2 linked regions of the Rhinolophus ferrumequinum genome follow. The protein of the gene in region 2 purifies or fractionates together with the protein of the main gene of each other region. This does not show direct contact. Links are inferred from orthologs where the notes say so. Each region holds a gene or a part of one and is shown on either strand. Other genes may lie near its edges. The genes, in order: AP2S1 and NECAP2.

The links.
Region 1: the proteins of NECAP2 (region 2) and AP2S1 purify together in Homo sapiens (affinity purification with mass spectrometry; 3 studies listed by BioGRID and IntAct, counting the BioPlex papers as one, with this or other methods). This does not show direct contact. The link is inferred for Rhinolophus ferrumequinum from reciprocal best matches to the Homo sapiens genes NECAP2 and AP2S1.

The regions. Positions count from the first base shown.
Region 1 is NC_046298.1:42,935,480-42,943,249, forward strand, and holds the start of AP2S1 (AP-2 complex subunit sigma), read right to left. Parts: upstream 3,208-7,770; 5' UTR 3,012-3,207; coding exon 3,009-3,011; intron 106-3,008; coding exon 1-105. UniProt on the Homo sapiens protein: Component of the adaptor protein complex 2 (AP-2). Adaptor protein complexes function in protein transport via transport vesicles in different membrane traffic pathways.
Region 2 is NC_046292.1:11,052,413-11,060,099, reverse strand, and holds the start of NECAP2 (adaptin ear-binding coat-associated protein 2), read right to left. Parts: upstream 3,175-7,687; 5' UTR 3,122-3,174; coding exon 3,030-3,121; intron 883-3,029; coding exon 782-882; intron 1-781. UniProt on the Homo sapiens protein: Involved in endocytosis.

The sequences.
Region 1 (7,770 bases), on a different chromosome or scaffold from region 2:
GTGCACTTCCTCGATCAACTTCTGTTTCTCATCATCATCAAATTGCATGTACCACTTGGCCAGGCGCGTCTTGCCCGCCCTGTTCTGGATAAGGATGAAGCGGATCTGGGGGCAGCAGGAGGAGGAAGTGAGAGCGGCAGGGAGGGAGGGCCAATGCTACACCCAACAGCCCCACCCATCGCCACCAGGGAGATAGGGTCCAAGCCTCCCTGCTGCCTGCCTTCCCCAGAGCCCAGCCAGGCCGACCTGACCACGTGCTCCCGTCCCAGGTCCCTCCAGTACCCTCTGTAGAGTGATTTCTCTTCCACCAAGTGGTCAACTCCACTCAGCTCCAGGGCCCTGAGTCCCAAGGCTGCACCCCTTCTTGTCTGCCTGACCTTGGACAAAAGATCCACCCCTCTACGCCTCAGTTCCCCCAATGGCAAAACAAGTTTATAAAATGAGTCCAGTGGCTGATAACATAGCAGGCACCCAGTAACTGAGTGTCATTCTTTGGCCTGAGTCCGGTAATGCCAACTTCTTTATTTCTTTTTACTTTTTAAAAATTGAGATATAATTCACATACCATAAAATTCACCTAAAATGTGTACAGTTAAGTGGTTTTTAATATATTCATACAATTGTGCAAAAAACATCACTATCTAATTCCAGAATATTTTCATCACCCCAAAAAGAAACCCCGACTAAGTAGCAGTCACTTTCCCTCCTCCCAGCCCCTAACAACCACTAATCTCTCTGTCTCTGTGGATTTGCCTGTTCTGGACATTTCATATAAGTGGAATACACCATATATGGCCTTTTGTGCCTGGCTTCTTTCACTCAGCATAATGTTTTCAAGGTTCATCCATGTAGTAGTATATATCAGCACTTCATTTCTTTTTATGGCTGCATAATATTCCACTGTACGGATAAATCTCGTTTGGTTTATCTTTCCATCAGCTGATGGACATTTGGGCTGTTTCCACTTTTTGGTGATTCTGAGAATACTGCTAAGATCACTTGTGTATACGTTTTTATGTGGACATGTTTTCATTTCTCTTGGGTAGACATCTAGGAGTGGACTTGTTGGGTTCTACGTGTAACTTTTCCAGGAACTGCTAAACTGTTTTCCAAAGCATCTGCTGCTTCCTAAGTGACTTGACTGCTTAGTGCCTCAGTTTATCCACCTAAAAAATAGGGCCATATAAGGGTGTGATGAGGAACAAACAACATCTGAGAAGTACCCAGAGTAGTGCCTGGTTCAGATAATACACAGTGTCCACTATGATTACTAGGAAAATTGTTTGTATGATTCTAAAATGCCAGGTCAACCGTCACAGGGCTACTAAGAAAACTGAAGGAGTTAATGCCAGGAGTGCTTGCTTAGCAGGGTGCCTACTACCTATCAAGCATTCAATAAAATTAGCTATTATTATGATTGAGGGACATTAAGAACACAAACTCTAGAGTCTGAATGAATCTTGGCACTGCTCACTGTGTTCATGGGAAGCCACTTAACCTTTCTGGACCTTAGTTTCCCCTTCTGTATAACAGACATAATGAGAGTCCTTCCCTCATAAGACCGTTGCACAGCTTAATAAACATAAGGGGTGTAGTATAGTGACTAGCCCATACTAAGTGACATATACTCGTTAGTATTAGTTCTTCGTATTATAATTCATCATCATTTGACTTTGAGAAAATCATGGCCCAGCTAGGAAGGCTGCCTTTGAGCCCAGTTCTGGTTGAGACAGGCATGCTTTATGCCCATTTTATAGATGAAGAAACTGAGGCTCAGAGAAGAAGTCTCACAGTCAGCAAGCAGAGCTGGGAGTCCAATGGCTTTGTTCTGAACCCCCTTACCCCTGCCTTGTGGGAGTCTCCACCCTTTCATGAAAGACCATTCTCTTTCCTAAGCCTTTCTCCATATACTCTCTCCCCTAACCCCAACCAATCAAGCTGGCTGGGAACAGGATATTGCACTTTCCTTCCAGAATCCCTTCTGCTGAGGCTAGGGAAAACCACTTCCTAGCAGGGCAGGGGTGCTGGTCAGGAAGGGAAAGGGCTTGGGGTGGAGGTGGGTGGGACCCACCTCAGGCAGCCACAGCCTAGGGGTAGAGCCGGGATATATGGGCATACAGGAAGGAGACCAGGAAGCAAACCTATTGGAGCTGAGGCAAAGCTGTTCTGACACCACCCCCCATTCATCTCTTTTTCCCTACTTCCTGCCCAAAGAAATCCTTTCTTATGGTTCAAAAGCCATACCCGGGGACGGGTGCTAAATCCAATGGCCCGTCCTTGCTCCACAAACGCCATCTCTCATTTCCATGCCTAATCCGACCCCCCCAACTCAGCTCTCCTTGGAAAGACCTGTTCCATTGCGCCCCATTCATTTCTAGTATCCACTCCCTACCTCCAAGCCTTCTTCCCCCTTTGCAGCACTTTCCCCGACTCTAAACCCATTCCCTACAGTTGTCTACTTCCCGTCTCCACTGTCCAGTCTCTTCCCCTGGGATTATCTCTCATCAGCAGTATCTCGCTCGTTTTCAACACCCCCTCTCCCGCCTGTAATGCCAGCTTCCTGCCTCTAGAGACCCCTTCTCTCTATCCCTATGTCTCTTATTCTTCTCCCACGCTCCTGCTACACTCCTAGAGAGCCCTCATCTCAGGACACCTCCATCCCACCTCCAATTCCTTCTCCCCACCTCCGAGACCCTGCTTTGTCAGTTGCCTCCGTTTTCAAAGCCCCCCAATCATCACCAATGTCCTCCCACCCGCACAACCCTCTCCCCTTGACACCTGATCTCAATGTCCCTAGCCTCCAGTCTCGGGTACACCCCCCCGCGCCCAGAATTACCATTCAGTTCCCCCCTTTCTGGCCTGTGACCGGTCCCAATCCCGAGAGCCCGCGCCCGGCCCAGACCATTGCCACAGCAGCGGGGGGCGACTGTCAGTACCCAGCCGAGCCTCCAGTATCTGCACGTGGACCCACCCTCCTCCTGTCCCCAGCGTGAGCGCGGCCCCGTTACCATGGCGACCCCCGTCCGGACCCCAGCTGGCCCGGTCCCGCGGCGACTGGGCGGCTCCGGCTCTGGAAGCAGTTGGAGGACCCAGGGCTAGAGCGGACTTCCGGCAGAGGAACCCTCTTGCCCTATCGCGCACTTCCCGCTGGGAATTGTAGTCCCAAGAATGGGTTTGCTCGTTCGGGCGGCAGGCCAGTGGAAGACACGATCATTCTTCCAACATGCTGGCGCGCTCCTGTCCGTTTCCCACCAGACGGGTCATGCTCCAAATGCATGCCGGGAGTTGTCGGTGCACTTCTTCAGAAGACTACAATTCCCGAAATGCACGTTGGGCGTTACATTCTGGGAAATGTAGTTCTAGTAGACCCTTCCTTCCCCCGCCCCCCGCCCCCGCACCACTTTCAAGGAAAGAAGGGCATGCTGGGAATAGTAGTTTTAAATAAGAAACTGCGTTTGGGGGAGCTAGAAATGTAACTGTCTTTCGGTGCTCACTTAGTGCTTTGTTTAAAATACCTTGAGTGTTTCTCTGTGGAAGACGGACAGTAGCATATGAGCATTTTGGGAGTCAGAAGTCACACCCTGTTATTTCCGCAATGTCCTACAGGTACACAAATCAGCCCTATCCAGTGTAGGAGGGGATATGAATACCAGGTTAGAATCATTGCAGTCTATCCTGAAACCTGACTACTACAATTGCTTATAGCGGAGGCACCTAGTCTAGGTGAAGACTTAGGGACAAACCTCCCAGAGGGAGTGGCATTTGAGCCGAGATCCGAAGATGAGTGGAAATTAACCAAGCAATGATTATCGTAGGTGGGGGCTGGGGAAGGCAAGGCAGGCAGAGTGCTCAAGCAGGGGCACAGACTTTGTCTCTGCCCCCAGGAATCTCACAGCCTGGGTGGTTGGAGCCTGAGGTGACATTCCACAGAAATAGACGGAAAGGACTAGTCCCAGCACTTTAGTATGAGTATGGACCCTGGAAAGATTCTCTCCTTTGCCATGTCATTACAGCATGCTTGTTATAGGGAAAAATTGGAAAGAGACAAAATATGCATCAATAGAGGAAAACTCAATCACATGCAGTCACATAAAATATTATGCAACGAGAGTTACGATGAGTGAGCAAGATCTCTGTGCATTGACTTGGACGATCCCTAGGACATGTTGTTGAAGAAACAAAGGGAGATGCAGAGTGACACGTATACAGTGTGTCATTTGATTTTTCTTTTTATTTATCTCTCCAACTTTTTGCATAGAAAGTTTTCATATCTACAAAAAGTTGTAGTATTAGCACAATGAACTCCAATGTATTATTCATCTTGATTCACTAATTGTTGATATCTTGCCACATTTACTCTCTCTATATTTATTTGAACCATTTTAAGTGAGTTGCAAATATCATGCTATTTCATCCCAAAAGGCTTCATGCTTCAACATTCCTCTTAAGAACAAAGACGTCTCCTCCATAAACATACAATGATACATTCAGGAAATTTAAATAGTAATACTACACTGGCAGATCTTGCTCTGTAGGATCAGCCCCTGCCAACAGCTCTTCCACTATAGTCAAGGCCAATCCTCATAATCAGTGAGCCTAAGAATCAGTCCCTCACATTGATGTGCAATTATCAACCAAGGCTCAACTACACGAGGAGGGCACACACAACCCAAACAAGGGACTCACCTGGAGTGCGTGGCTCAGATCACCAGAAAGACTGTGGCACTGAACTCCACAGCACACCTACTACATAAGGCCACTCTACTAAGATTGGAAGATGTAACAGCCCTACCTAATACATAGAAACAAACACAGGGAGGCAGCCAAAATGGGGAGACAAAGAAACATGTCCCAACAAAAGAACAGAACAAAGCTCCAGCAAAAGAACTAAGTGAAACGGAGATAAGCAATCTATCAGACGCAGAGTTCCAACACTGGTTATAAGAATGCTCAGTGATCTCATAAAAATGAGATGGAAACCATAAAAAAGAACAAACAGTCAGAAATAAAGGATACAATAATGGAAACAAAGACTATATTACAGGGAATCAACAGTAGATTAGATGAAGTAGAGGATCCAACCAGCAATGTAGAAGATAAGGTAGCAGAAAACACCCAACCAGAACAGGAAAAGAAAAAAGAACCCAAACAATTGAGGAGAGGTTAAGGGGCCTCTAGGACAATATCAAGTGTACCAACAGTCACATTATAGGGGTACCAGAAGGAGAAGTGAGACAGCAAGGAATTGAAAACCTATTTGAAGAAATAATGACAGAAAACTTCCCTAACCTGGTGAAGGAAATGGACATATAAGCCCAGGAAGCACAGAGAGTCACAAACAAGATAATCCAAAGAGGCCAACACCGTGACACATCATAATTAAAATGCCAAAGATTGAAAACAAAGAGAGAATCTTAAAGCAGCAAGAGAAAAGCAGTTAATTACCTATAAGGGAGCCCCCCATAAGACTGTCAAGCTGATTTCTCAACAGAAACTTTGCAGGCAAGAAGGGAGTGGCAGAAAAATACTCCAAGTGATGAAAAAGCAACAACATACAACCAAGATTGTTTCTACCCAGCAAAGGCTGTCATTTCGAATTGAGGGACAGATAAGGAGCTCCCCAGAGAAGAAAGAAACTGAAGGAGGTCATCACCACCAAACCAGTATTACAAGGAATCTTAGAGGGACTTTTTTATGATGGGAGAGGGGTTAAGGACAGGTGAAAGGGGAAGGGATTAAGAAGTACAATGGGTTGTTATACAGTAGTCATGGCGATGTAGGGTATAGCATAAGGAATATAGTTAACAATACTGTAATAACTAGGTATGGCATCAGATAGGCACTAGATCTGTCAGGGGTGATAGATGGGAATGGGGTTGGGGGCAGGGTGAAGAAGGTGAAGGCACTAAGAAATACAAATTGGTAGTTAATACAGTATGGGGAATATAATCAACAATGTTGCAAAGATCATGTAAGGTGTCAGATGGGCACTGGACTTATCAGGGGATCGCGTCATAGACTATGTAGATGCCTGACCAATGCGCTATACACCTGAAGCTGAAGTAGGATAATATGAATGTCAACTATAACTAAATATATAGGTATATATAGTCACAGGATGTGGAGTACAACATAGAGAAGAAAGTCGATGGTATTATAACAGCTATATAAGATGTCAGAGGGGTAGTAGCTTGGAAGGTGGGTTATCACTTTATGAGGGGTTTAAATGTCTAACTATTATGTTGCTTTGTACGCCTGAAACTAATAAAAAAATCAGTACAAATTGGTAGTTACAAAATAGTCACAGGTATGTAAAGTACAGCAATAGAGAATATGGTCAATAATGTCTCAACAACTATGTATATTGCCAGGTGGGTACTAGACTAATCGAGGGATCATTGCATAAGCTATATAAATGTTTAACATTCAGGTGCTACACACCTGAAACTAATATAAAATAATATTGAGTATCAACTGTAATTGACATAAATAAGCACTTTTTTAAAAGGCGAAAAATATTAATACTACACTACTATCTAATATAGGTCCATATAAAAATATCCCTGATCATCTCAGTAATATTCCTTATAGATTTTTTTTTCTGTTCCAGGATCTGGAACAATTGGTACACAAATCTGATTTCTGTTCAATTGAATCCAGAATCATAGGTTGTATTTAACTGTCACGTTCCTTTAGCCTTATTAAATCTGGAACAGTTCCCTTGTCTTGTTAGTATTTCAAGAGGTTGGCATTTTCTAAGAGTCCATGTTTCTACATGATTAGATCCAGGTTTGACATTTTTTGTCAGGAATATCACATAAGTGATGCCGTGTCCTTCTTAGAGTATCCGGCTGGGGGCATGTGATGTTGGTTGGTTTCATCCTTGGTGATATTAAGTTTGACCACTTAATTTCTGTCATATATTTCTTTTCTTTTAAATTAAAGTTTATTGTGGTGACAATTGTTAGTAAAGAGTATATTTCTTTTAAAAGTTATGTGATCCCAAAAGCATAAGCAACAACAAAAAATGTAAATTGAACATAAAAATTAAAAACTTTAATTTTGCATCAAAGGACTATCAAGAGTGACAAGACAAGCCAGAGAATGGGAGAAAATCTTTGCAAACACATATCTGGTAAGGGATTATTATCCAGAGTACATGAAGAACTACAACTCAACAACTCATCAAAAAATGGGCAAAGAGAGGCGGCCGGATGGCTCAGTTGGTTAGAGCGCAGAGCTCATCACACCCAGGTCGCCGGTTTGATTCCCACATGGGCCAGTGAGCTACACCTTCCACAACTAGAGTGAAATGACTTGACTTGGAGCTGAGCTGCGCCCTCCACAATTAGATTGAAAAACAAAACAAAACAACAACTTGACTTGGAGCTGATAGGTCCTGGAAAAACACACTGCTCCCCATATTCCCCAACAAAAATTAAAAAAAAAATTTGGCAAGAGGGGCAGCCGGTTAACTCAGTTGGTTAGAGCACGGTGCTCTTAACAAGGTTGCTGGTTAGATTATCACATAGGCCAGTGAGCTGTGCCCTCCACAACTAGATTGAAAACAATGACTTGACATGGAGCTAATGAGTCCTGGAAAAACACACTGTTCTCCAATAAAAATTAAAAAAAAAAAAGACAGGCAATATCAAGTGCTTGGGAAAACGTGGAGCAGCTGAAATTCTTATACATGTCTATGGGATGTAAATTGGTATATCCACTTTGGGAAACTGGTTAAAGAAAGTGAACACATGCACACCCAGCAAT
Region 2 (7,687 bases):
TCAACAAAAACGAGGCCAAGGTCCCACAGCTCACACACAAACGATGCAGTGCTGAGAATTCATTTGCCTATGAATCTTTGCCCTTTATTCCACCCCACAAAGGATAATTTCTACGTATTAGAAAAACAGATGACCAAATGCCGAGGCGCTGCACCGGGCAGGCACTGTGCCCAATCCCTGCTCTGGGGGCCGGGCTGCCCTCTGCAGCTCACCCAGAGGCACAGGTGGCACAGGACTTCTGGAGAGATTTCCCCTAACGTGCGTCTGCTGGCTGACCCCAACACTGCCCAGCTTAGCTCATCTCACCAAAGAAAAAGCTGAGTCGGCCAGTTTCCAGCTCTTTCAGTTAACGGGCGTGGTCAGTCTGGGGAGTTACCACTTAGCTGATAAACAGAATTCCTGAGTGAGAACCAGAGCTCCACAGCAGAGGGCTGTGCGTCTTCACCCAGCTCGTCTCAAGACAAGCTCCGGGGCTTCCCTTTTGGGACCAACCTACAGATCTCCTCTCCTTAGACTCCAAAATTAGTATTTTCTTAAGGGCCCTCCAAAAGAAAAAGTGCTTGACAGGAAATACTGCCTTTAACATCTGGGGATACTGGTTACTACAACCAAAGGTGGGGAGGATGGTTCACTGGGGTCTTAAAGGTACACACTGGGGTTTTTAATTTCCAGGACAGGTTCCCATGACCCCGCAGTGGCCTGGCCAGGCCAGGGCTGCCTCTCCCTTCACAGAGTGGCATGGCACCTCAGCCCCACACACACAGACTTCCCTTGCCTTTACCTGTGGTCCTGTCCTCCAGCTTGATGTAGGCCACCTGCCCTCTTGCAGTGATCCGCAGCCGGCCACTCCATGATGGCTGGTCCAGCTGCCACTCCGCAGCCCTAAGGGGACAAAAACCATTGAGCCTCTGCTGGAGGCTCCCTTCTATGCTGAGGATGAGGATGGGAAGGGCATGTGGAAGGCTTGCGCTAGAGACTGGCGAACTTCTCTGAAAACGGCGACACAATCTGTCACAAACACTCACTCTGCCATTGTAGTGAGAGCAGTCAAAGGCTGTACGTAAGTGTGTTGGTGCTTTAAGTATTTTAAACGAATGGTTTCTACAGAGTGTGGCTGTATGTCAGTGAAACTATGAACCAAAATTTGAATTTCATGTAATTTTCACTTCATGAAATGTCTTCTTTAAAAATTTCTCCAAACACTTAAAAACATAAAAACCAGTCTTAGCTTGTGAGCCATACAAAAACAGTGGAACGTCGTTTGCTGACCCCAGTTCTAGATTACGAGTCTAGAGATCTTCTCTGAAGTAGGAATTCCAGTTTTATTTCTATAGAGGAAGCAGCTCCTGGGGCTTGTTGTTTGTTGAAGACAGTGCTAGGCTGGTGTGGTCAGTGATCATTTGGGACCACTGACACCATCGTGGAGGAAAAGCAGAGAGGGGAGCAATCATTAGCAGAGAAAAGGAGAGCAACAGTACACGAGAAAAGTGAACGGGTGTTTAAGAAACATTCTCAAAGGTATCCTAGGCAGAAAAGCAGAAAGGAACCCAGGAAACCATGGACCTATTGCAATACCCTCTTTTGGCTCTTTTAAAGCAGTAACTTCACATTTTAGTTCTAAGAAGCCGCTCAGTAAAATCCCCTAATAGCAAGAACTTTGGGTGTTTCCAAGAAGCTTTTCTTGGAAGTCCCAAGCATATGGGACACACTATAACTGTGGATGTAGGTTGTTTGGAAGGCCACCCAAATGCAGATTCTCAATTCACAAGTCAGAAGTCAGCAGGCTGTTTCAGTTCCTCTTACTGGGGCGACAGGCCTTAGACTCTGAGCTCTGAGATTGAAGGACAGCTTCCTCTATGCCAAACCGGCCAGTCCTGACACTTGGTAATCTTGCTCTCTGGGGGTCCAAGAGGCGTCAAACCCATCCTACTGAAAGGGGATGAGGGTAGACAACCATCACTGGTTTGGTGGTCCATCTCCAGTGATGACAGAAAGCAAATGTGTTTTTGCTACTTTTATACTATTTTTGTGCTATTTTTAAATCATGTTACGGATGCAGCAGGTGTTCAACAAAATATGGGTTCATTACCCAATCAGCTATGATCCCATTAACACAACTGGAAATTAACAAGAGGAGAGATCTGTCCACACTCCACCATCCTTTTGCAGGCCAGTCCTGTATTTCCAAATAACTTGAACAAATACTCCCTTCAAGAGCACACCCCCGCCTTACCACCCCCCACCCCACCCCCACCCCCCGCCCAGTGGCACAAAATAGCCATAGGCCAGGTTGTCTGTATCAGGTAATCTTTTTTTCTTTTAATTATTTTTCGTCTTCTTTTGATAAGTAATACATACACACGGTAACAAAACGCAAACAGTACAAAAAGGTACACAGTGAAAGTAAGCCCCTTTCAACCCCCGTTCCCTTCCAGATAGTCTACGAGTATATGTGTTTATTCGTCTCAGGAACATTTCTCCAGAGAAGTGTGGATGGATTCCTCCCAACTGCCACAGGCAGCGATAAAGTATCAAGTTCACACGAAGGGAGCTGGACAGGGAGGGCTCCCTGGGCTTCCGCCATCAGCTTAAAAGCCCCCGGGACCTGTCCTTTCGGCCGGTTCTGGGCTCCCTTCCTTCCCCTCCGGGATTTCCGCCTGTGATAGGTCCCCTCCCCCCTAAGGCTTTTCAAGGATCCCTTCAAGGCCACCAGCTAGCTCTGAAAGAAAAAAGTCTGTGACACCACCACTCCCGACCACGTTTAGGGTACCTGGCAGCCCACCGGGTCCCCAAACACTAGACACGGCTTTAACGCCTTTCCCGCAGCCGGGAGCTCGGTGCGTTGGACCTAGACGGCCAAAATTCTGGGCTTCCCTTCCAGCTCTGACCAAGAACCGAGAGAAACCTGAGCATTACCTCCCCTCGCCCCTAAGCTGGCCGTAACCATCCTCAGCTCCCAACAGTGGGCGTGCCGGGCGGCGGGGAAGGGATTAAGTTGGGGCTAGCCTGGCCCGGTGGTGGGCAGTCACCTGTAGCCACGGTTGGTGGCCCGTGGCGGGATGCGGTAGATGTGCACTTCTGGCTTGACGCAGAGCACCGACTCGTACTCGCCCTCCTCCATTGCGATGCCCGGAGCCCGCCAGACTTCCGGCTCCTTCCCAGCCTGGAGCGGGGGTGCCGGAAGCGGCGCGACTCTATGACCTGGGTCAGGCTAGAGCGGCAGCTCGGGACCTCAGCACCACATCGCTCCGGCGCCCTCTGCTGGAAGCCCTGGCTCAAGACATACGGCGGTCGGACCCAGGAATCCCCCTGATGAGGACTGGGGTTCTCCAGGGGCTTCCCCCTCCCACAAGGCCTCGTGCGCGGCAGAGTACAAATACCTGTTCGAGTTCTTGTTTTCAGTTCTCTTGAGTATGTATCTAGGAGTGGACTCGCTGAGCCATATGACATTTCTATGTTTAGCTTTAGGAGAAGCCCCCAAACTGTTTTCCACTCCGGCTCCACCGTTTTACATTCTCACCAGCGGCGAACAAGGGTTCCAATTTTCCTCAACTTCACCAATACTTATTTTCTATCTTTGGTCATAGTCATCCAGGAGAGTGTGAAGTTAATCTCTCATTATGTGAATTGGCATAACTTCTAATTTCAACTTTGCTCATTACCCTGCTTCTGCACATTAAAGAAGAAATTGAGAAATGACCCAGAAAATGATATTTCTTCCTCCCAGTTCTTTGATCCTGACTCTCATCTTGCTAAAGTCCTGGAGGGGCAAAGAGAGAACTCCCCTTAGATGATAGAGGGGGAGAGGTATTAAGACGGAGGTGAGGACACACTCCCACACAGACAAATCTTATCCCCTTATATTCTCACCGGTCAGTTTATATGTCTGTTTTCCCACTAGACTGTGAGCTTCAATGTAGGGCCCCGTCCCTGCCACCTGTAGACTGCTGTATTTAGTGTCCTGGCACAGAGTAAGTGCGCAGTGAAAGAGTAAATGAGTGAGTGTGTGTGTGTGTGTGTGTGTGTGTGTGTGTGTCTGTCGTGCGGGGCAGCCTGCGGGGCCTCTGGTCCCGCTCCCCACATAAGAACGCAGGATATGGTGAGGCCAAGAAGGAACACCCACGGAGCCATAGGTAGGGGAGTCATGCCACTATAGTCTCACTGAAGGCTGGGAAGACACACGCAGTAGTAGCCACATGACCCACAGTCCGCCATTCACTTCTCTGCCTGCCAACCAACCAACCAATCAACGCAGCCCTGCAGTTACATCAGTAGCCAATTGGCTAACCGGTTACAGCTGATGGCCAACTAATCACAGTTGATGGTCATTCACTACCCGAGCCAGCACCTCCCCACGCAAGCCCCAGAGCCTGGAAACTGCTCTCTGGGACTCTGTCCCCGACAGTGTGTGTTTTCAGTTGGCTGCATTCCAAGGCCAAGGGGCAATTTGGGAATGGGCCACTGTGTTTTCTCTTTCATACTCTGATTCCTTACATGTGCTGAACAACATGGGAAAATCAAGTATCACAGAAGGAAAGCACCTGGACCCACTGAGTCAGAGAAACTTCCATCTTGGAGAGCACCTAGGACCAGCTTTGGGGTAGCGTCTACCATCAGCACCGAGTTCCATCATTTCCGCTCTGGAAGCCAAGCAGTGGGGAGGTGACCCTCAGTGACTCTTCTGGGCCTTGCCATGTGGCTGCCACAGGTAGAAAACCTTTCTCTCATCAGCCTCAAAGGGGATCATCACTCTGTGCCAGGGGCAGCCAGGCCTTACAATGTGTTCAGAGCACTTTCAGTTCAGTTCAGTCTAACAAAGATGGGCATTGAGTGAGTACCTACCAGATGCCAGGTGCTGGGTGCTAGGGCCACAGAGATAAGGCTGACCCTGCTCTGCCTTCATGGAGCTCACAGACCAGAGAGGAGACAGAGAAGAAAAGAGTCATTTGCAATGCAGAGTGAAAAGTGTTATGATGGAGGAAACTCACAGGGGCCTGTAGGAGTGAAGAGAAGAGAAACCCACGCAACCTGGGGGCAGTCAGGGATGGCTCTCTGGAAGAGGTTACCTTGACAATAATCCCTGTGAGGTAGACAGGGCAAGGATTGTTATCCTCATTGTGTAATGAAGGCCACTGAAACAGTGACAAGCCCAGGGAAACTACAGTGCCTTCTAGTTGGAGGTCAGACAGTCCCCTTGCCTTATTCTCAAAACCCAACCACATGGCTGGACATTCCCTAAATGCGTTCCTAAACCTCTGTTGCTAAGAATAACTGAACCTACCATCTACTCCCAGGTTAACTACAGTATTTACCAAAAGAATTCAATTCAACCCAACAGGCAGAGAATAGGCTCAGAGAGAGCCCATCTTATGTGTGAGGAGGTGAGCGGGGTTGTAAAATCTCTCTGTGATTTATCCAGCTGTTTTCTTGTTGGTCCAGGGCCAAGGGGAGCGGGGGTTGGATGTGAGCAGTTTTCCTTGGTGGCCTCCAGACATATATATTATAGGTCACTTATCATCTTTCTCTGTTGTGTTTTCCTACCATCACAAACATTTTATAAGAGAAGTTCACCCATTTCTCAGATGGGGAAAATACTTATAAAAGAGCACTCGATACCAAAACAATTTTGAAAAAGAACAAAGTTGACGTGTGGAATCTGAAAATACAAAACAAACAAATAAAACAGAAACAGACTCATAGATACAGAGAACAAACTGATGGTTGCCAGAGGGGAGGGGGGTGGGGTATGGGTGAAAAGAGTGAAGGGGCATAAGGGGTACAAACCTCCAGTTATTAAGAAAAAAATTCTCATAGATGTAATGTACAGCATAGGGGAAATAATAAATATTATTTTAATAACTTTGTATGGTGACAGATGGTTACTAGACTTATTGTGATCACATCATAGGAAATATGTCGAATTACCTGAAACAAATATTATATTGTATGTCAATTATACTTTAATTAAAAAAAAAAAGAACAAAGTTAGAGGACTTACACTTCCAGATCTCAAAACTTACTAATGAGCTACATTAATCAAGACAATGTATTACTGGCATAAGGATAGACATATAGATCAATGGAACAGAATTGAGAATCCAGAAATAAACTCTCACATTTACAGTCAGTTGACTGTTCGTAAACATGCTAAGAAAATTCAGTAGAGAAAGAATAGTCTTTTCAAATGATTCTCGGATGATATATCCACATGCAAAAGAATGAAGTTGGACCCCTACCTCACACCATATACAAAAATTAATTCAAAATGGATAATAGACCTAAATGTAAAAGCTAAAACTATACAACTCTTAGAATAAAGCATAGACATAAATCTCCATGACCTTGGATTTATGTTATAATAAAAAGAATCTAATGGATTCTTAAATATGACACTAAAAACATAAGCAGCAAAAAAAAAAGCAAAAGAAAAAGTAGATAAATGGGACTTTAACAAAATTGAAAACTTTTGTGTTTCAAAGGACAAAAAATGGAAAATACAATTCACATAACGTGAGGAAAATATTGCAAATTATGTATCTGACAAAAGACTTGCATCTAGAATATACAAAGAACACTTACCATTCAATAATAAAAAGACAAATACCCAATTTATATATGGACCACGGACCTGAATAGACATTTTTCCAAGGAAGATATACAAATGGCAAGAAGCACATGAAAAGATGCTCAACACCATTAGTCATTAGGGAAATGCAAATTAAAACCACAGTGAGATACCACTTCACATGAACACATAATTCTAGGATGGCTGGAATTATTTTTAAAAGTTGGATAATAACAAGTCTTGGTGAGAATGTGGAAAAATTGGAACCCTCATACACTGCTTGGAGGAATGTAAAATGATGCAGCCACTTTGAAAAACAGTCTGGTAATTACTCAAGAGGCTAAACATAGAGTTACCATATGACCCAGCAAGTCCACTGCTCGTATATATGTACAAGAGAAATGAAAACATGTTCACACAAAAATTTGTACACAAATATTCATAGAAGCATTATTCATAATAGCCAATAAGTGGAAACAACTCAAATGTCTAGCAACTGATGAATGGATATACAAAATGTGGTATATGGGCCATAAAAAGGAATGAAGGGCTGATACAAGCTACAACATGGATGAGCCTTGAAAACACTTTGCTAAATGAAAGAAGCCAGTCACCACGGACCACATAGTGTATGATTCCATTTACATGAAATGTCCAGCATAGGCAAATCTATGAGACAGAAAGTAGATTGGTGGTTGCCTCGGGCGGGGGGTGGGGTACGTGAGATGAGGGGATGGCTAAGCGGTGTGGGCTTTCTTTTCGGGGTGACAAAAAATGTGCTAAGGGTGGTGATTGTAAAATTCTCTGAATATACGAAAAGCCATTGAATTGTATACTTTAAATGGGTGAGTTGTATGGTATGTGAATTAAATCTCGATAAAGCTGTGAAAAAAAAGGGAACCAAGTGTCCTGAAAAGGGGGCACAGTCTATATTGGCCACCCACCCCCCTCAAGTCTGTCCTCAGATTCCATGCCTTTCTGCTAGGGTTGGGCTCTTCCCCTTCTTGTCCAGATTCCCAGTTTGTAAGCTTCCAATGGGAACGGAGACGGGGGGGCTGGATCCCCTCTGGAGCCTCTGCCCCCTTCAAACTTCAGCTTGTGGAATATTGGGGCCTGAGAATT